Linked DNA regions of Arabidopsis thaliana. The protein of the gene in region 2 interacts with the protein of the main gene of each other region in a pairwise test. Each region holds a gene or a part of one and is shown on either strand. Other genes may lie near its edges.

Region 1 (7,964 bases), on a different chromosome or scaffold from region 2:
ACCTCAACAACATCAGGCCTAGCGGAAACCTGCTTCAGCTCAGCAATCTTCATTCTCCGTTGAAGCTGAGGAAACAGAAATTCAGAATATTCAGAATCTAAAGAATGCAATAAAACAAATTGAGAGGTAATAATAAGGTTTGAGCTATACCTTTTTCTTCTTATTAGAGATGCCTTTCTCTTTGTTCTGATTATCCTGCTCGTCGTCGTCTGAATCAGAATCAGAGTTAACCTTCTTTTTGACATCTTCTTTCTCCTCAGACTCATCTTTCGTACCGTCTTCTTCAGAGGCAAGAGGTTCGCGGAAGTTGAACTTCTCGAAGATTTCCTTAAACTCATCGTTAAAACCATCTTCAAATTCAGCTTGCTCTGGAACATACTCTATCACAATCTGCTCACAAACCTATCAAAGAGAAACATATACCAAAAATCATCAGCAAACGATAAACAATCACAAACCCTAAGAAAAACCCTAGAACACCTCTCCATGAATCGAGTACGAGAAGATGAGCACAAAGTTAACCTGTGGCTGGGGATCTGTATTCTCTTTGGATTCAGAAGCAGCAGAAACGTCCGATGCATCTACATCGGCTTGGGATGCTTTGTTGTTCTTCTTCTGCTTCCGTCTGCGGCGGCGACGGTCAATCTCACGAGATTTCTTAGAGGAAGCGGAGGTGTTTCCGTTGGAGACATCACCGTTAGAAACGACGCTATGAACGAGTGCGACGGTTGAATCGGCGGTCATATTCGGTGTTCTCTCTGAATCGGTGATGTGAAAAGAGAGATTGAGAGGAGAAGGAAGAACGACGGAAATCGAGGATATACGTATATGAACAAGAGTCGGTTTGCTGAAATTCTCTCTGATTCTATTTCCGGTTTGGCATAAGGCCCATATAAGTAGAAGACGAATATATCTGCCAATAGGCCCAACACTTTATATTTTTCTTCGAGTGTAAGAATTGTTTTGTAGAAGACCATCTACTAGTAACTAATAGAAAATTTCAAAGGAAATGTATGGAACAATATTCAAACACTACTATAAATGTTGGCACGAGTTAACTCTACATTATTCGTAAAAATGTTCTATTGAACTTTTAAAATTATAAAATTACAGTTTACACAATGTCTTGAAATTTTGAAGAAAGTTATAAGTATCAAAATTGTATATATGTGGGTATTTGAGATTTAAATAAAATTCTCTGACTAACAACAAAACTTTTAATAAAATTTAAATGTTTTAGTTTATTATTCGTAAAAATTTAGTTTTTACATGAATTGAGGTAATTTTTATTCACTTTGAGATTTTATTAATGTGAGCACGACTCCCGGTGTATGTTATCGGTTGTTTATTATGCAATTAGAACAATATACATTGTGCCTTTTTAGTTTCAAAATTGTTTTCATAAGACATTAGGAAAGAACACGGAAAAAAAAGACATTAGGAAAGAATTTTGTAACGGCTTTTGTACGTAACGGTTATTTTTAAACAAGGAAAAAAATACTGTCTATAAAAAAAAATTATCTTTACGTAGTTGTGTATTTTAGAAAACAAAATAAATCATTTTTTATTTACTAAACTATTATTTTATAAGGAAAAGATTGAAAAGAGTAGGGGAAAGATATATGTGAAAAAATATTCATGCTTGGTAGATAAAAAATATTTCACAAATAAAGAGACAAGTATATGTCAAAAATATCATGTCTTTTGAATAAATAATCTTCTAAAAAAAAAGAATTAGATGAACTATAAATATCTTGTGGTATATGAATCCTTGACACTGTAAAAATCAAAACATGAGATCAGAAACACAAGTATAAAAGTACATTACAAGTACGGTATGAATCGAAAAAAAAACAGAATTTGACAGGTTTTGAGCTGATAAAAACTATTTCAGGCTTTTATTAATTTTTAAAAATAGTATTAATTGTTTTTAAAATAAGACATAAATAAAAAAAAGAACGGTTAAAGAAAATGAAGGGGCCCTTCGTGTTTTGTTTTCCCTTAAAAAAACCAAGGACAAAGGCATAATGCCGTATTCACAATCTTGACTCTTCGTTATCTGGATCTAGGGTTTCTCTCGATTTTTAGAACGCCACAAAACCTAATAAACTTTTCCCAGATACACAAACAAACTCATCATCAACCAAGGAAGAAGAAAGAAACTAGGGTTTTTTTTTGTGGATTCATCATCGGTATTTTACAGATCTATATTCAAAGGGAACAAAATCTTAAGGAACAAACACTAAATTTTCATTCTTTCTCTTATTTACCCATTTATCAAAAATCTTCCTTTTGTTTTCCTGATTCTTGCTAAAGAAAAAAACTCGGATCCAATTCATAAACTAGTGTGGACTGGTGATCAATCTATCAATTCTGGCCAAGGGACAACAAAAAGTTTAGATTTTGATGAACCAATTTTGAGATGAGACAATAGACATCCATTGATCTGTAAACTTTAAGAAGGAGAAGGAGAAAAGAAAGTATGTATAGTAATAATAGAGTAGAAGTGTTTCATGGTGATGGAAGACTTGGAGAATTGGAGATATACCCTTCAAGGGAATTGAATCAGCAACAAGATGATGTGATGAAGCAGAGGAAGAAGAAACAGAGGGAAGTAATGGAGCTAGCCAAGATGGGAATCAGAATAAGCCACTTTTCTCAATCTGGCGAGAGGTGTCCTCCTCTTGCAATACTTACTACAATTTCATCTTGTGGCCTTTGTTTCAAATTAGAAGCTTCACCTTCTCCAGCTCAGGAGTCACTCAGTTTATTCTACTCGTCCTGTCTCAGGGACAACAAGGTATCTAAACCTTACGAACCTTTAAGCCTTACTCAGACTTAGATTTTATCAACTAAAACTCAAAAACACTTAATGATAAATAGGATTTTGTGTCATTATTTAACTTCCTTAATGTCAGAGCTGCATCAAGTTTGGGGCTTTAGAAACTTTTAGTAGAGTGGGGGTTTGAATCTTGTGTTGTTTGTTATGTTACAAATTGTCCTCATATTTGTGAGTTTTGGATTTTTGCTTCTTGCAGACAGCAGTAATGCTCTTGGGTGGAGAAGAGCTCCATTTGGTTGCTATGTACTCGGAAAATATCAAGAATGACCGTCCTTGTTTCTGGGCATTTAGTGTTGCTCCTGGAATTTACGATTCCTGTCTTGTTATGTTGAATCTTAGATGTCTGGGTATTGTCTTTGATCTTGATGAAACCCTTGTAGTGGCGAATACCATGCGCTCATTTGAGGATAAGATTGACGGGTTTCAGCGGAGAATAAACAACGAGATGGACCCTCAACGCCTTGCCGTTATAGTGGCTGAGATGAAGCGTTATCAAGATGACAAAAATCTATTGAAGCAATATATTGAAAGTGACCAGGTTGTTGAAAACGGGGAGGTGATAAAGGTGCAATCTGAAATTGTTCCTGCCTTGTCTGACAACCATCAGCCTCTTGTTCGCCCTCTGATAAGGTTGCAAGAGAAGAATATTATTCTGACTCGCATTAACCCAATGGTATGCAAGTCTTGAATCAGTATATGTCTGTTAGTTTCTGTTCCCCGTATACATATATGTTTAGTGCTTACTACACATTTAAAAGACAATAAGTGGTGGTGTGCTGTGTGGTGGATTTCCTTGAATACTTGTGGTATAACCTTTTATTTTTCATTTGCTCCTTTCTGGAGCACCTAGATTTTTCTGAATTCTTGTGGCTGAATCTGCATTCCTATATTTACACACAGATTCGTGATACAAGTGTTCTTGTGAGAATGAGGCCCTCATGGGAGGAACTTCGAAGCTATTTGACAGCAAAAGGGCGTAAGCGTTTTGAAGTATATGTTTGCACGATGGCTGAAAGAGATTACGCCTTAGAGATGTGGAGGCTCCTTGATCCAGAAGGGAATTTGATAAACACAAATGACTTGCTTGCTCGCATCGTTTGTGTGAAATCTGGTATACTTTTTGGTATCTTATACCTGCTTATATTTCATCATGGTAAAACTTCTTACAAGCTTGTAATTAACCACCACAGGTTTTAAAAAGTCACTGTTCAATGTGTTTCTCGATGGAACCTGCCATCCAAAGATGGCATTGGTAATTGATGATCGATTGAAAGTTTGGGATGAGAAGGATCAGCCGAGGGTACATGTGGTTCCTGCATTCGCTCCCTATTATTCTCCTCAAGCTGAAGTAAGTATAATTTTTACCTAGTTGAAATTGGTTATGAAAAATGCAGAAGCATGTGAATTTGATAAGAATATTATTAATCAAAAGAATCACAAGTCATTTAGAATGGAACAAATGAAGCCTTATAAGACCTAACATAAGCTAGCTTTGTGGTGAGTTCTACGCAAGGGGTCTTTGTGGGCCTGGTTTGTTGCACAATTTCTACCAGAAGTGATAGTCTTGACTTTTCAGTAATAAATGGTGTCACATATAGCTCGTTTCCTTTTCTTGTAGGCTGCTGCAACACCAGTACTATGTGTTGCCAGGAACGTTGCCTGTGGTGTCAGAGGTGGATTTTTCAGGTAAGATGTCAGATTTGATAATAGTAGTTTGTTTTCTTGACATCTCTACTGATCAAGGGTGCTTCCTTAGTACATACTTACGGTGAAATGGTATTTGAACTTGGTTACAGGGATTTTGATGATAGTCTGCTACCAAGGATTGCTGAAATTTCTTATGAGAATGATGCTGAGGATATTCCTTCTCCGCCTGATGTCAGCCATTATTTGGTGTCGGAGGTTAGTCGTGATACTTGTTAGCGATTGGGAGTAGATAATTTTTTGGTTCTCTTCCAGGCAGTCTGGGAGCTTATTTTACTCACCTTTGAAACTGCTTCCCAGTAACTCATTCTTTTTTCAATATAGGATGATACATCGGGTTTAAATGGGAACAAAGATCCACTTTCCTTTGACGGGATGGCTGATACTGAAGTGGAGAGAAGACTGAAGGTGATTTACATTTTGAGGCTCTATTGTTACTGAGTTATTGTGGTGATCCATTAAAGATGCCAACTCCAGTAAACATGGCTTCTGGTTTAAATTTTCTGCCCAATGTTGAAATTCAAATACATTTTTCCGTTTTATTCAGGAGGCAATTTCTGCATCTTCAGCTGTCCTTCCGGCGGCAAATATAGATCCGAGGATAGCTGCTCCCGTTCAGTTCCCCATGGCTTCTGCTTCTTCTGTTTCAGTTCCAGTACCAGTACAAGTCGTGCAACAAGCAATACAACCTTCAGCTATGGCCTTTCCAAGTATTCCATTTCAACAACCTCAACAACCGACATCAATAGCTAAACACTTGGTTCCTTCAGAACCAAGCTTGCAGAGTTCTCCTGCTAGAGAGGAAGGTGAGGTACCTGAATCAGAATTAGATCCAGATACTAGGAGGAGACTCCTCATATTGCAGCATGGACAAGATACTAGGGATCCTGCTCCAAGTGAACCTTCATTTCCTCAGAGACCTCCAGTTCAAGCTCCACCCTCACATGTGCAATCAAGAAATGGCTGGTTTCCTGTTGAGGAGGAGATGGATCCTGCTCAAATTCGTCGAGCAGTCTCAAAAGAATATCCGTTGGATTCTGAAATGATTCATATGGAAAAGCACAGGCCTCGTCATCCATCATTTTTTTCTAAGATTGATAACTCAACTCAGTCTGACAGGATGCTTCATGAGAATCGCAGGCCGCCAAAGGAGGTACCACTAATCTTATTTAACCTATGATTTTACAGTTGTCAGTTTTTTTGGTCTTTATACTGCTGTACGACGTTTAGTGCTCACTGTGATATATTTGCAGTCTCTCCGGAGAGATGAACAGTTACGTTCAAATAACAATCTACCTGACTCTCATCCTTTCTATGGTAAGCCATCAAAGTTATTTGTTCTTGTATCATTTTGTTCTGAAGATAAATCACTGACTTGGGTATTGGGATGGACTCTCTAGGGGAGGATGCGTCTTGGAATCAATCTTCCTCTAGGAACAGTGATCTTGACTTCCTACCTGAACGAAGTGTCTCAGCAACGGAGACTTCAGCTGATGTTCTACACGGAATTGCTATCAAATGTGGAGCTAAGGTATGTAAATATCATCATGATTACCATTAATTCCATACGTGAGTTGATGTGTTATTATTCCATGACATTGTAGGTGGAGTACAAACCAAGTTTAGTTTCTAGTACAGATTTGCGGTTCTCTGTTGAGGTACGTATTGCTCTTAGACGTATCTGTTTGTATGGTGTCAGTAATTTTGGTGGAACCTTATGCTCTTTGAGATCCTATATTTCCTTTGAGTGAGGTTACTTTGTTGATTGTGTCAACTGTACATTAAATCTATGTTTTTTTTGCAGGCTTGGCTTTCTAATCAAAAAATTGGAGAAGGGATTGGCAAATCGAGAAGAGAAGCCCTGCATAAGGCTGCTGAAGCTTCTATACAGAATTTAGCTGGTAAGACTTTCTGACTCATGATTTACTCGTGTCTTAATCTTTGTCTGCAGAGATACTATTTGAGATAGATTGTTTGAATCTGCTATATTGGGTGAATGTTATTTGTTTGATGTTTCTAAACCATCTTCACAATATTGGGTGTAGATCTCAATTTTTCAACCAATCTGTTTAGTCTGTAATATTAATAGATCTATTGTAGCTTCGTGTTGGTCCTCATAAATGGGTTTATATCAATGAGTATGAGTACTGCCACCACAAACGGTTGCGTGTCAGTATGTTATGATATCAAAACTGTGGGTCCCTTCCCTTTACAAGGGTGAGAGCTATCTTGGATTTGTGGCAGTTGGCTCAGGTTTAATATTGGTCGGCTTCATTCACATTGTTCTTATAATGAGGCTTTAAACTCATTGTTGTTCGTTTGTTTCCAGTTTCTTGAGTTCTTACTCCTTTTTTTGCAGATGGATATATGCGTGCAAATGGTGACCCAGGGCCCAGCCACAGAGATGCTACCCCCTTCACCAATGAAAATATAAGTATGGGAAACGCAAATGCGCTTAATAATCAGCCATTTGCTAGAGATGAAACAGCGTTGCCAGTTTCTTCTAGACCTACAGATCCGAGATTAGAAGGTTCTATGAGGCACACTGGCTCCATTACTGCACTCAGGGAATTGGTATGTATCTCCTTAGTGCGGATACTGTTGATTGATATGGTTGCTTGCTTACATTCACATATTGTTTTTTCTCATCTTTGATTCATCTGTAACCAAATTCCAGTGTGCATCGGAGGGTCTTGAGATGGCTTTTCAATCTCAGCGTCAGCTTCCATCTGACATGGTCCACAGAGATGAATTACATGCTCAGGTTCGCACCCCTAAAAGATTAGAACACAGAAGTGTTAAATTTTTTAAAAAAAAAATCTAAGATAGACAATTTTCAGTTAAAAGAGAAAGATTCATGATTTTCTCTTCAGGGCCATCAGTATATTTCATATCTATTCAATTGGTTTGAAGTATCTAGAGTGTAGACCCCTCTTGATACTCTTTGTAATATATTTCAGGTTGAAATAGATGGGCGTGTTGTAGGGGAAGGAGTTGGATCGACATGGGACGAAGCTAGAATGCAGGTAACTCAACTAAATTCTTGCCTCGGGTTTATTCTGATCCCATCTTTTCCCTTCTCTGACGTTCTTACCTTTAGGCTGCTGAGAGAGCACTGTCCAGTGTGAGATCAATGCTTGGTCAACCTCTGCATAAACGACAAGGATCTCCACGGTTTGTTCTTGACTATATCTATATGATTATCAAAATAAAAATGTCAGTTGATATATTTTAAAAACCGGTTTCTTGTTGATGTTTAGATCATTTGGTGGGATGTCAAACAAGCGATTAAAGCCGGACTTTCAACGGTCTCTGCAACGGATGCCATCTTCGGGAAGATACTCTTAAAAATAAAACCATGTGAAGAACGAACCACATTCTACATTAATTCCATTCTCTTGGTAAAAACAGCTACCAA
Region 2 (3,955 bases):
GTAACAATGTGGCTAATGTGTACTAGAGATTGTGTTAACGCGCACTCTAAATCAAAATAAGAACATCTCGAATAGTTTAAAACCCTTTTTGAGTATTCTCATCCTCTTTTGAACTAAATGGTTATTTTTGGTACTTTCAATTCTTTATTTCGTTATTTTAATGTTTTGAAAACTCTTTATTAGAGATGTTCTTAAACTTTTACATGATTCATGTCAGAAATTAAATTTAAACTATTAGGTCGGATTTTCCTAGGTACAGTTAAAAAATCGAGTATTCCGTGTTTTACTCTTATCATTCATACCCTAATTGCAAACGCATTTAGTCGACCCACAATAAACATGTGTTTGAAACTTGTACGGTATAAACTGTTTCTCTACAATCTCTTGTCAAGATGGTCAAACAAGCAAGCCCACGTTACACACCTAAGTTCAGCTAACCCAACGCTCCTTTTTCAAATACAGTATATACAGTAAGTCTCTCAATTTGTGGTGTGTTACTATATATTCGTAAACAGAAAAGATTTGTATGTAGGTTTATGATTACATAACGTATGCTTATATTAAAAATGCATGAGATAGTTAAATATATTCTTTTGGATAGCTCAAACAATTAAACTTACATGTATAGCTAGCCACAACTAAACAATATATCAATATGCAATTTCAATCCACTAAATTTATACCAATACAAAGATAACCAAACAGCAACAAAATAAAGTTACGAAATCTATTCGTCAAATTTTCTATGCATGAAAGATTACAAATCTACATCTAAATCTATGAGTCTCCCTCTTAACCCAAAAGAATTGAAATTCAAATACATATAAGATTTGCCACGGGACAAAAATTAACGACTTATTTTTATTGCGTCAGCATTTCATCATCACATAAACCCAAACCCACCAACTTGCCCCGAATACCCAAACGAGTCAACACCATAACCCTTTTGAGCTAACTCGCCCGAGTTATTAAACCCGTGACTGCTCTCGACTTCCTCCTCCGTCTTCAGGTAGCCACAGTTGTACTCGAGATTAGGAACAACATGACTCATTCCGAGTTCCGGTACCGAGTTATTATGCTCAACATTACCGGCAAAACTAGCCCAATCGAAGTTAGAAGTATCCGCAAGACCGTGGAACCCGGTTTTCTGTTCGGTTAAGTCCGGTCTGAGCGACGAGATGCGGTTTGGGTTAGAAAACTGGAAATTTCTGTTGTCGATCTCTTGATGAAACGAATCAAGAACGTCTTCAAAGTGAGAAGAAGACGACGTCGTGGACGAAGTACCGTTGTTGCTGAATTCTCTAGCATTCGCGATTCCATTATCGTAAACTTGTTTTTGTGCACTTGATTGCTTCTTGTATATTCGACATAGAACCCAATCATCCAACTAAAGAAAATTAACAAGAATATTAATTATAGGTCATTCAAAACACTACAAGAAGAAAATATAAGATATAGTATTTATTAATGTTTAGATTTTATTTGTTACCTTAGTGCTTCCGTTTCTACGAGAAGGTTCAATGAGACGATACTCATGCATGATCCAATTGGTTTTAGTACCTTTAGGAGCTTTTCCGATGTAAAACACCAAAGCTTTTTTAATACCAACTCTTTGTCCTTCCGTCGAGATTATTTTATCCGTACCCGTAGCTTTCCAATAACCCGATCCGGCAACCCGGTTAGGTCTTGACCCGTTTGGATATTTTCTATCCCTAGGACTAAAAAAATACCATTCTTTTTCTCCAAATAATGCTTTATCTATAAATCACAAAAGAAGAAAAACCAAGAAAATTATGAATCTCTGTTAAGAAAAATAAACATTTTTTGAGAAGGGTTTCAATTAGTATATACTTACTTGGTAAAACCCATGGATCGAATTTGTAAAGATCTATTTCGGCGATGAGCTGAAGAGAGAAATCGTAACCAGCTGCTTTTCTACAGAGATATTGAACCATAAGCTCTTCATCGGTCGGGTAAAATCGGAAACCCGGTGGTAAACTCAATTGCGTTAACGGGTCAGTTTCTTGGATACCCATATTTTTTTCTTTCTTTCTTATTTTTGACAATAATGTTTGGGTCTCGTGCTACTTATATATGGACGCAGTGTATAGGTGAATCCACCGCCGCTGATTAACGTGTGTACTGAATATGGGACCCATTTTTGTGTTTATCTATAAACACTTTTGAATTCTGACACGTGTGTCAGTTAGATCGTCGTGATTTATGCAATCCCTTGAGTTCATTGAACCTACATGAGTAGATTTAGCTCTTCCTCGTACTATTTTTTTTAAATGGTTTTTTTTATTAACATTTGTTTATTCATCTATTTATCAATAATGTTCCGCTAAATTTAAAAGTATTTTCCAATCAAAATAAGATTCAAATGAATGTTTGGAAATTTGCTGCTTAGACATTTGGAGTTCACATATAATATTTAATTTAATCGAGATTTTTTTCCTAGGATTGTCTATTTAATTATTTAAGTAATGTAAAACAAATTAAAAAAATGATTTTCGATTTTCCTTTTAGGATTTTTTTTTTTTTTTTAAGGATATTTTTTATTTACAAAGTTTATTGTCAATATAGTAACCAGACGACATCTAAACCACAAAACATTATTGACTTTATCTTGGTCGATTTAATCAACATTGAACCGTCCATGTACTTTTTGGTGGTCTATATATTCGTGTAGGGGACTGAATTTCAGAATAAAGGAACAATTATTTGGCCAAATTTGTACCCAAAAAAAAAAAGATTTTTTGGCGAAATGATTGAACAGTAACCATGAAATATGTGAACTGGTAAAGGAAGAGATATTTTATTTCACGTGTTTTTTGTTGACGGGTTTTCTGAAATGTATATGTGCCAAATGTTGTAATAAGAAGGACACGCGTAATGTTGTGGTAGGGTAAGGGAAAGAGCTTCGAAAAAAGCGAAGTTGAAAGGACAAAGGAACTGTTCAATGTATCTTAGGTTACAACATGGAAAGCGTTTTCCATACGGACAAAACTACATCATGACGACACGTGTCCACGTGTCTATCGTAGAAGTTAGGCGCAATTTGTCATTTGTCAAAAAGACGTTATAACGATGGGAGAAGAGAAAAAACACGAGTTGATGTTGACTAAAGATTTTTTCAATTTATTTTTGTTTTCAGAAACATTAACAAACACAACTCGTAGTAGCTGCTTCAAAGCTTCATAGTATCTTTTTTAAAAAAAATATAGGGTAAAAAACTTCATAGTTTCTTTTTTTTTTTTGTGAAAAAAAAACTTCATAGTTTCATCATTTAGTTCCATGGTTTTTAAAAGATAGAACCATATATAATGGTCGCAATTTTTGTTTAATTTAGAAATTGGGTGTTATAGTATAAAAATCCATATTGTTCGCTCGGAATATGCTGTTTTGAGTTGGAAAGTGAAGTATATAATTGACTAATTGAGCATGTTTAGAACACCTAAATTCCACTTATAACCATTAGATCACATAGATACCACGATTTGGATAAAATCCTTGTTGGATAATGTATAAATTAATATTTTTATCTACATTTTTAGTGTCGGTTTCACCAATATGTCTAACTAATTTAAGGACTTAGCAAAATTATTTGTTGAGTTTTATGTAAATCCACCATAGATAAAACATCTTAACCGAAAAATAAGTAATCCACATCAAGTTTGCATATAATATAATCGAAATTGAAATTAGCTATAGACCCTATACATATATTCAGATTTTGTTTTATAAGATCACGTATTGATGTAATTTTTTTTGTCTGTATTTATCCATTGATTAGTTTTCATGCAGTTGTGGTATTTCATAAATGAAAAAAATTTACGAATGAATTTTTCTTGAAATTTATATTATAATATAATCTAACCCTAGAACATTTTACTGAAATCATTAAATTTTTTATGAAAGTTTAAGCATACATATATATGACATTTTTTTTTTT
Region 3 (3,333 bases), on a different chromosome or scaffold from region 2:
ATTGAATTAAACCAACTAAAATCTCTAAACCAATGTCAATTTAAGTTTAATCAACACATCTAAACCAATTTAATAAAATTAATATTTTTCCAAATTTCTTAAATATACAAACGATGAAATTGAGAAAAAGTAAACTCGTAATTTTTTCACCAAAAAAACATAAACCCGTGATTTTTCCGCCAAAAACGTAAACCCGAGATTTTCCCGCCAAAAACGTAAACCCGAGATTTTCCTGCCAAAAACGTAAATCCATAATTTTTCCGCCAAAAACGTAAACCCGTGATTTTCTCGTCGAAAACGTAAATCCGTAAAAAGTGGAATCGGTAAATATCCTAAGTTTGATGATAATGAATTAATATTGATAATTATTTATTATTATTTTATAATAATAATTAATTAAATTACTATTTAAATAGGTTAACCCATTTAACAACTCAACTCATCAAATTAAATAAGTTATGGGTTGACCCAACCCATTTAACAAAATGAGTTGGGTCAACCCATAACTCATTTAACCCTAAACTCATTTGATTATGAGTTAAGTTGAGTTGGGTTATCCATTTTGACATCCTTAGATATAGTGTTGTTTTTGTATAAAGATATATATAGTGTTGTTCCTTCAAAAAGATGATCTATGTTAATATACATAGAGTTATACTGGAATTGATACAACAAATATTCTGCCGACATAGATTAAACCAATTAGTTGGTACTTTCCACTTCATCACTAAACCAATCTGAACCAGAACCCCAATCAGATTGCGTGTACTTTTCTTTCGGTAAGAACCGGTGCCGACAAACCGGACATTTCATCTTGTTGTAGTCAACGATCCAACGGTCTAAACAATAATGATGAAACACGTGTCCACACTTGGGTAGCTGCCTAACCTTATCGTCGGACTCAAAATCTGACAAACAAACCGTACAACAATCTTCCGGATCGGTCGGAAGATCCGAGAACCGAACCACCGGGATCAACTCGTTAGCAAGACTCGCTGACGTAGAGAGAGCGTGTCGGGTCAGATCGGGTGCAGAGGTCTCGTTGTGGTCTAGAAAACGAGGTAGACCAATGTAAGGACAAAGAGCATCGACGATGTCTCTAAAGAAACCGATGACGTAAAGTATCTTTAATATGTAACTTGGAATCTGAAGCTCGGTGATGAAATCTTCAGGAAGACCCATGATTTAGAGAAAGATAGAGAAGAGAGCTAGATTGAGATGTGGAACTATAGAGACAAGAATAAAGTGTGTATAATAAAAAATGGTGAGATTTATAATTGTGTTTGGAGTACAATTCAAACCGGCAGCTGAAGATAAGTATAACCAAATTGATGTCAAAACAAAAGAGAATACATATTCTATATACTTTTCTTTGCAAAACGGTGAATGGTTGAATTTTAATAACACAGTTTAAAGACTATTGACATCAAGGAATTTTAATAACACTGTTTAAAGGATTTTTCAAAGAAAAAAAAGTTCTTTAATACTACTTCAAAATGGTAACGACTATTCAGAGACTCCATCCAAAAATTTATAAAGTTTTACAAACGTATAAAAGTAGTTTGTTTAAGTTTTCTTATAAAGTTACACTTATTTAGGTATATTTCAGATTTTAAAGATATTTTTGATAAATGTTTTAGAGAGATGACATTTTTGAAAAGTGGTAATGGAAAATGTGCATTTCTAACAATTCTTCCTAAATATAGTATATGATTTTAGCAAAGCAAAACTCAAATAATATCAGTTAAAAAGTCGATTATCCGCTTTAATTCAAACTATGTCAATTTTGTAGTAGTTATATAAAGTACAACAGAAAGAATTTAAATATGATAAAAAAGATTCATTTGATAGATATTATGAAAGGCAAAAATTTGTTTTTTTCGTCGAAAGACATATAGATTTATAGTGGATGAAATATCTTCTAAACTATTATTTTTTTTGAATAAAATATATTGCTTTATATCAATTTTGACAAAGACTAAGGTAGTTTACGTATTAATTCATTCTGTAATTTATAAAGTACAAATAAAAATAGTATCATGGATTTTAATAGACAAATTAAGAGTTTCTTTAAGATATTTTTCGGTATAAAACTGTTTACAAATTCTATTTGGTAGAGACGAATTAGATTATGAATACTGTTTTTCTTCAAAAGAAAATGAATTCAGATTCCTAACATAGCGATATACCATAACACTTGATGTGTTTATTTGTCCACTTTTTTATTCAAATAAAAGAAAAGCAGATTACATTGGAAGATTTTATACAGACGGTTCTTTAACAAAGAAAGATGATTGATGCTAATATACACAATTACATAATCTTATACTTGAATTATACAGTAGTTTGGAAGAAAGAATTATACAGTAGAAAAATATTACCGTGAAAAAAGTAAAAAGTAAAAGTAAAACCATCATTATTAGTTGGTACTCTCCACTTCATCTCTAAACCAATCTGAAGTACCCCAATCAAACGGCGTGGACTTTTCCTCCGGTAAGAACCGGTTCCGACAAATCGGGCACGTTATCTTATTACAGTCAACGATCCAACGGTCTAAACAACGATGATGAAACACGTGTCCACACTTCGGCAGCTGTCTAATCTTATCGTCGGATACAAAATCGGATAAGCAAACCGTGCAGCAATCTTCCGGATCGGTTAAAAGATCGGAGAAACGAACCACCGGGATTAACTCGTTGGCAAGAGTTGCTGACGTGGAGAGAGCGAGTCGGGTCGGGTCGGATCGAGAGGTCTCGTTGTGGTCAAGAAAACTTGGTAGACCGATGTAAGGACAAAGAGCATCGACCATGTCTCTAAAGAAACCGATGACGTAAAGTGTTTTTAGTACGTAACCTGGAATCTGAAGCTCTTTGAAATCTGTTGGAAGACCCATGAGTGTGAGAGAAAGATAGAGAGGAGAGAAAGAAAGAGATAAAGCTTGAATTGTTGAATTATAGAGACAAGTATAATATATAGTGAGATTGATGTTGGAGTTATAATAATTGAATCCGGCGGCTCAAGATAAGTATAGTCAATTTGATCAACAATGGTGGGTCTTATTTAGTGTATAATGTAAAATAGTAAAATATTTTGCTTGGTATAGAAACAAAGAGAATATATTAATACAATTTTCTGTGATAGATAATGTGGTGACGTTAAGGGTCTTCTTTAGTATATACCAAAACAAAAAAAACAAATTTTAATATTAGGTAGAAATTTAATACCCGAATGATGGATTTATTGGGATCTTGACATCAGGGATTCAAGAGTGGATAGTGAAGATATGAACACGATCTTGAATCTATAGGTCCTACCAAACTAAAATCATCTTGA
Region 4 (6,688 bases), on a different chromosome or scaffold from region 2:
GCTATATAATAGCTAGATCCAAAGAATAAGCTCATGCGCATAATCCGAAAGATTCATTTGCTACTTCTAGTGCATGTGCTTCAGATGTTCCATCCACTTTTTTTTGTCTATGATCATTTTTTACTGGTGAGCTTTGATTAGCAGCTTATCCAATGCTTCATCTTTTATCAAGAATTGTAGACAAGTAGCTTTTATAAAGTTTTAAAATTAATTTTTTTTTTGATAAACCCTATCAGCTGATCTGGTCGGTAGAATTGCACCTGTTTTATAGTAGACTTCTCTCCGAAAGACCACCATAAAGTTTGTCCCAAGTTTGGAGTGTTTTCCGAATTTCATGGATAATCAGACCGCCTGCATTTCTAACTACCATGTAAACCAGTTAGAATTTAGCCAAAACCCAACTAACACACTTTTCAGACAAATGTGTTTTTTTTCCAAAGATGGTCGAACTTAGATATAAAAATTTCACTCTTGACCAAAATTTTCTCTACCATATTGAGTAATTCAATTCTCTCTCTAAAAATTAGAGAAGTAACCCTCTAAACCAAATCATTTTAAAATGTATATAAAAACTCATTTAAATCATGATCAATTACAACATTATATAGAAATTCTCTCTTCTTCGAATCTCTCAAAGTAAGATGGTTATAATCATGTGTGTGGTTTCACTAATTAAACAAAGACACTTTGATTTTCACAATGAAATCAACATATGCCTTCAAAAACATTTCACATCCCAAAACAAATTTTAATATTCAAATACTTTTCAAAAATTAAAATTAAATTATGCTTTCAGGGGTATATGAAATTACTTTAATTTCCATATATCAAAGTTAAAATGTGCAACCATATTTGGATTTTATAAAATTTAAACAAAACATTAAATTTAAAATGATTTTTCTTAAAATATAAAAATATTATGTATGAATAGAATGAAATTTCTTCTTAAAAAAACGTTTCAAGAAGATAAAATTTATTTAAGGGGATGAACCTTATTATTTACAGTTCAGAAAATAATAAAGAAATTGATTGCTAATAATAAAATATTGACCAAAATTTAGAAGTAAATATTACACATAGACTTTTTGTTAACCCTAAAAAAACCTTTTTCGTTTTTTTCCTTTCTTTTATATATATAGGATAGGATAAAACCATTCATAAGTTAATAAATCTGCACACATATACTCTCTTTTTTATTACAGTTCACGCATTGATTGCAAACAATAAAACCAATATTGACCAATTAACTAGAAGTAAATATTATTAATAAAAATATTTTTTAACATGATGCACTCAAATAAAAAATATTTTTAGATTTTTTCTTTCTTTTGTATATAGGATAAAGAAAGACCATTCATAAATTGATAAATCTTGCCAGTACCAAATTTAGGTAACTAGTGATTCTGATCCACACGTATACTCTTTTTTTTTGTACATATATTTAAATGGGGAATCTAAGCTAATGGAAGAAAATAAACAATAAAAATAAAAAAGATAAACAGAAGGAGAAAGTAGACCAAAGTTACATGACAACTAGGAAACAAAAAGTTCGAAAAGAAACCGGATTTGTTCTGCTCGGTTAAGTTCCGGTTTAGTTCAGTATGAACAAATAAAAGTAAAACAAACGAGGGACGTGTGTATGGAAGAGGCAAAGGCTGAGAAACTTTTGGTTGGGACAATTTGCTTAAGTAATGACTAATGAATGACCCAAAAGAAAAATCCTATTAACTCTTTCTTCTTAAGCCAACTTGCTTTCTTCTTCAACATTACACATTACGTGTAACTGTAATTAATTAAAAATCTTTACACATTGAATTATTAGTTTTTGTTTATTCGTTGATTTAGGCATTTAGCAATTCAATTCAGTCTTTGGAAACTGTTCTTATGACTGACCCTTTTTAACTTTTTGATTCAATTTCCTTAAAATATTAGTTTTTATTTTGGGTTATATGGTAAATTACACATTGCCGTCTCGTCCTAATAATCCTCTTTTCTGTTCCCATTTGTGTTGTTGTGCTTTGCTTCCTTCCTTTTTCCTCATTCTCTCTTCTTCTCCTTCTTCCTTCTCCTCCACCACAAAGCGGTAGGTTTCTCTCTTCAACAATCGGTGAGTCTCTTTCGTTTTCATTAAGAATCTTCATAAAGTTTTGATTTTTATTGTTCTTAGATCGATTTATGTTCTGTATCTGTTTGGTTTTGGTTTTGATTTTGATTTTTGTGTCTTTTCTGGGTTCTATTGGGTTTTCAAAGCTCGATCGAAATAGATAAGAATCGGTTGGTGGGTTTTTTGAAAAATAGTTTTTTTTTTGAAATTTTGTGTCAAATTCTGTAGAATTGTTGTTGTGGTGAATTTATTATTCATCAGAAGGTAAAAAAATTATTTTTTGTTATTGGGTTTTAGATGTTTGAATCGGATCTTTACTTCTATGAGCTTGTTTTATGAGAAAGTTTGATTCTTTGAGGTTTTTGAATTGTTTTTTATTGTGATGATGCTTTATCTTCAAGCTGTGGGTTTCTTTTGTCTTTGCTTTTACCTTGCTGTTTCAATACATCTTTGCTTGGTATTGAGGATTTGTGAAACTTCATACGCTGTTGCATCTATGGGTAGTTGATATGTCATTGATGAGGCAGTGCTTATTTTGATATTTCTCTTGTTTTTCTGAATTGCCATTGTGGTGGTAGTTGAGTAAAATGTTTTTCACTCTTTTCCTTGTTTCAAAATTGGCATGCTTGTTACGTGGTCCTGGATTTTGTTTGTACCTCATTTTCATTGACGCTTTGTTTCGAAGTTGGCAGTTAGGTGTCAATTTGATAATTTAGACTTGAAGTTCTTTTGTGTTTAGAATGGTTGATCATATGAATTTTCTATCGCATCTGTCCTCTTATTTTTTAAGCTTGTTAATAACTCATGTGTCATTAGTTTCCTACTGAATCATTTGTGTTTTAGTTAGGCGTCGCATCTAGAAGTAAGTTGCATTTAGTAGTAGTTGCAGCGGTCTTGCTTTGAGTGACTTTTGCACCTTGTGCTCTTCTAGGTGAAGCAGATTATATGACTGTATATGCAATCTCAGGGTGCCATTTATTATTACAATTGTAGGAGCTATGTTTTGATTGAGTGTGTTTATATGTTTCTTATTACAGTTGACATCGTGTAGAAGCCTTTTCCTTGTCTTTGTTACTGAAAGATCTACTGTCTTTGTTGTTTTGCAGTCTCCCCATTAGGCACATTGTTGAGGGCAGGGTAGTCTCGTGAGTTCTCTTCTCCTGAGTGTAACTGTGGTTAAAAGCTTAGCCAAGATGCAGGGGGAGAGGGCCAGTCTTGGCTATTTATCAGAGGCCTTGAACTTTGAGCATGGTTCTTCTTCAAGTAATGGTGTGATAGATCATTGGGAGAATATTCACAGTCTTGGTGATAATGACTTGCAGGATTACATGATTGCAAATTCTGAATCAAATACTTCGCTTGCAAACTCAGTTTATCACGAGCAACAGGGTTTACGCAGATTTAGCCTTGGTGAGGCTAGCTCTAGTGGCACGAAGGATGAAGCTTCCAGTCACAATGAGCAACGAATGGAAACAAGATGCTTTGACGGACGAGGAAATGAAATAATTGATTTAGACCCAGTGTTTGCGCAGCCATCAGGCACAAATCAACCTGTTCAGAATGTCAATCTGAATGCAGAGTATATAGAAATTCACGAGGATATTAATCCATATAGAGGTCGGTCTGGCTTCATAGAAGCTAATGGACCAGGGACCAGGGTCTCACAACCTGGCAGATCTTTTGAAGAGAACGGTGTTGGAACAGGTTCTTCTGTAGAGGGACGTCGTGCATCCTGCAAAAGAAAAGCTCTTGAAGGCAGTATTAGTCAATCTTCTTCAGGAGGTTATCATGATTTCCAGCGTGGAGAAAGCAGTTCGTGGACCCCAGGTTCTACGGTTTTTAGGCCAGGAAATGGTTTAAACATATCTGGCTCCCTTGACAATGGACCAAGAGGAATGGTCTCCGGTACTGTACCAAATTTTCCTGTTTCTGCACCAAATTTTCCTGTTTCTGCCATTGCAGAGAGCTCCAGTAGAAATATATGCGTCAGGAGTAATCCCTCAGATCATCAAGAAACTGTAAACCCATCTACCTTTGCTGCGGGAACTGTTGTCAGGCGGCCTGTCCCTCCATCCCAGTTGAACTTGTCAAGACACTTACCAGCAGATCAGCATTCATTGGACTTGAGACCTGGACAGTCTTTTGTCGTTTCTCGTAACCCAAATTCTACTCCTGTGAGCATACCACCTGGTTCAAGGACTATGCTACCACCATTTCGGTGGACTGGGAGCTCACTAGTGGGTGGAACATCGAACTCTACTGCGCCCGTTGAGAGAAATCTTCATCTAGATGAAACCAGGTCAAGAAGCATACCCGGGAATACTCTTGAGATTCCCATGTTTGCAGCTCCTGAGGTAGGAAATTTTGCCCGTAGTCAGAGTAGCAGAAATGTAACAAATGGAAACCTGAATAGTGCATCATCAGTGTCCAGGACAGGCTCAACAACAAGTGTTCCACCACCACCACCACCATCTTCTAATCTAGCGTGGACTTCTTACCAGAATTCACCACATTATCAAAGAAGAAGGACTGAAAGGTCTGAACTTGCACGTAGGTCCTTGCTTTCTTCCCTTGCAGCAGATGCTACAAACCAGAGATCTGGTGATCATCCAACACTTCGTTCGTTGGCCCCTCCTGCCTCTTCGGATGGGCTTGTGCTTCAGCCTGGTGGTGATAATAGTCAGATGCATAATCGGGCTTACTCGAGAGCAGGTCCGTTGTTTGATAGGCAAGGGGATAGTGTGGTTGGTATTCCTCATCCTTTGCGGGCCTTGGCAGCTGCAAGCAGAGGAAGAAGCAGACTTATGGTGTCCCAGGTCAGTCGATACAAATTCTATTGGCATGTAGCCTTTAACGTGGATGGAATTTGTTAACTTTGGCTCATTCAGTTGCGCATAAATACCATTTGTTTGTTCTTCAGCAGTCACTCAAATAGAACTAACAATACGTTTCTCTTTCCGACAGATGCAGAATGTCTTGGATGTCATGCGTAGGGATGCTAATAATAACAACTTGCGGCTTGAGGTTAGTTTTTCCTGATTGTAGCGAAGTTATCTAAATTCGAACTTGTCTTGTGTCTGTCTCTGTTGATTTCTAGATGAACTAGCCTAATAACTGGAACATAAATAATCTGGATGCTTGTTTTCCAGGACGTTATGCTTCTAAATCACTCAGTACTATTTGATGGGGCTACTGGTCATGACCGGTATAGAGACATGCGACTTGATGTGGACAACATGTCATATGAGGTAAATTAAAAACCATAGTGAACCATAAATCTTTGTCTGAGTCACGTTAAATCACTAAATCTAACTCCTTTTGGTTCATAAACTGTAGGAATTGTTGGCACTAGAAGAGCGGATTGGAGATGTTTGTACCGGTGTAAACGAGGAAACCATATCAAACCGGTTAAAGCAACGAAAATACAAAAGCAACACAAAATCTCCACAAGATGCAGAGCCATGCTGTGTTTGTCAGGTAAAAATATACTAGTTACTGAAATAGCATTTAAAAGGTATAAGATTGTTTTTCGTCCGAGTATGAATGGTGAAAACTTGGTGCAGGAGGAATACACCGAAGGAGAAGACATGGGGACACTAGAATGTGGGCATGAATTCCATAGCCAATGCATTAAAGAATGGCTGAAACAGAAGAATCTTTGCCCAATCTGCAAGACTACAGGCTTGAACACCGCGAAGAAGCGGAGGATAGCATGATGATTTCTCGAAAGAGCTTTTTTTTTTTCTTAACTATTCAATTTTATAATCAAAAATGAAAGAAACAGAAGGTACCCTCAAGCCCCCACACCATTGCAGAGCCAGGCAAGTTTGTCCCCAATTTTTTTTAAAAAAAAGATAGAATTTGTTCGTATTTATAATCTGAGTATGAAAGATGGAAAGATTTGGATTGAAGGGAAAAGATAAAGGGTGGTAGGGAAATGTTGTTTTTTTCTTTTATGGATTTGTTTGGATAATTTAATTTTACCCATTGTCAATTAAGTTTATGAATCCTTTGAAAGAAGCAGGAAGTTGAATCAGCCGATTTTGAGAGAATACTTACTTTGAAAGCCCATATGTTGTTTTGAGTTACCTAGTTTGCTCTAATTGGTTACAAAAGTTTTAGGATGCAAAAATGTTGCAATTTTGGAGAAACAAAATCAAGTTGGATATGTGCAAATGGTTGTCCCTTAAGAGGCAGAGTAATAAGGTGAACAAGTTGAGTAAAAATTTAGTTGGAAGAATAAAATGAATAGATTGAGAGAAATAAGTTGTGTGTTGTTTAACTTGTTATGCTCGTATGATGGGACTTTAAGAAAAGAGATTTTATGGTAAATAGTAGAACTGTAGAGGAATGCAAAGGATTACACGTACGCTTTGAATGGTAGATATGGGCAAAGCGGACTAAAACAGTAACGGATTATAGTTTATGAATGGTAAACGAAAATCTCTTCAAACAAATGGATTTGTCTGTCCTAACCATCACAACCATTCCGGACTACAATATTTTTCTCAATTTTGTTACTCTAAATTAGAAATGTTTTGCATATATACTAAGGAGAACAAATCAAAAATCAAACTCTATTTG

What was found.
Region 1: the proteins of NAC019 (region 2) and CPL1 interact in a two-hybrid assay, tested with the Arabidopsis thaliana proteins (one study listed by BioGRID).
Region 3: the proteins of NAC019 (region 2) and RHA1A interact in a two-hybrid assay, tested with the Arabidopsis thaliana proteins (one study listed by BioGRID).
Region 4: the proteins of NAC019 (region 2) and AT5G42940 interact in a two-hybrid assay, tested with the Arabidopsis thaliana proteins (one study listed by BioGRID).

What each region holds. Positions count from the first base shown.
Region 1 is NC_003075.7:11,509,029-11,516,992, forward strand, and holds the start of CPL1 (C-terminal domain phosphatase-like 1), read left to right. Parts: upstream 1-1,960; 5' UTR 1,961-2,482; coding exon 2,483-2,800; intron 2,801-3,038; coding exon 3,039-3,515; intron 3,516-3,742; coding exon 3,743-3,953; intron 3,954-4,032; coding exon 4,033-4,190; intron 4,191-4,460; coding exon 4,461-4,528; intron 4,529-4,638; coding exon 4,639-4,744; intron 4,745-4,870; coding exon 4,871-4,954; intron 4,955-5,093; coding exon 5,094-5,699; intron 5,700-5,799; coding exon 5,800-5,863; intron 5,864-5,946; coding exon 5,947-6,077; intron 6,078-6,150; coding exon 6,151-6,204; intron 6,205-6,350; coding exon 6,351-6,447; intron 6,448-6,905; coding exon 6,906-7,120; intron 7,121-7,223; coding exon 7,224-7,310; intron 7,311-7,506; coding exon 7,507-7,572; intron 7,573-7,646; coding exon 7,647-7,720; intron 7,721-7,806; coding exon 7,807-7,894; 3' UTR 7,895-7,964. Other genes in the region: AT4G21660 (proline-rich spliceosome-associated (PSP) family protein), read right to left, coding at 3-65, 151-402, 523-744. UniProt on the Arabidopsis thaliana protein: Processively dephosphorylates 'Ser-5' but not 'Ser-2' of the heptad repeats YSPTSPS in the C-terminal domain of the largest RNA polymerase II subunit (RPB1). This promotes the activity of RNA polymerase II.
Region 2 is NC_003070.9:19,696,409-19,700,363, forward strand, and holds NAC019 (NAC domain containing protein 19), read right to left. Parts: upstream 2,075-3,955; 5' UTR 2,037-2,074; coding exon 1,856-2,036; intron 1,759-1,855; coding exon 1,490-1,758; intron 1,388-1,489; coding exon 884-1,387; 3' UTR 515-883; downstream 1-514. UniProt on the Arabidopsis thaliana protein: Transcription factors that bind specifically to the 5'-CATGTG-3' motif.
Region 3 is NC_003075.7:6,905,626-6,908,958, reverse strand, and holds RHA1A (RING-H2 finger A1A), read right to left. Parts: upstream 1,472-3,333; 5' UTR 1,183-1,471; coding exon 703-1,182; 3' UTR 517-702; downstream 1-516. Other genes in the region: RHA1B (RING-H2 finger A1B), read right to left, coding at 2,420-2,893. UniProt on the Arabidopsis thaliana protein: Probable E3 ubiquitin-protein ligase that may possess E3 ubiquitin ligase activity in vitro.
Region 4 is NC_003076.8:17,215,781-17,222,468, reverse strand, and holds AT5G42940 (RING/U-box superfamily protein), read left to right. Parts: upstream 1-1,796; 5' UTR 1,797-2,107; intron 2,108-3,210; 5' UTR 3,211-3,297; coding exon 3,298-4,920; intron 4,921-5,068; coding exon 5,069-5,128; intron 5,129-5,253; coding exon 5,254-5,352; intron 5,353-5,440; coding exon 5,441-5,581; intron 5,582-5,667; coding exon 5,668-5,820; 3' UTR 5,821-6,140; downstream 6,141-6,688. UniProt on the Arabidopsis thaliana protein: Probable E3 ubiquitin-protein ligase that may possess E3 ubiquitin ligase activity in vitro.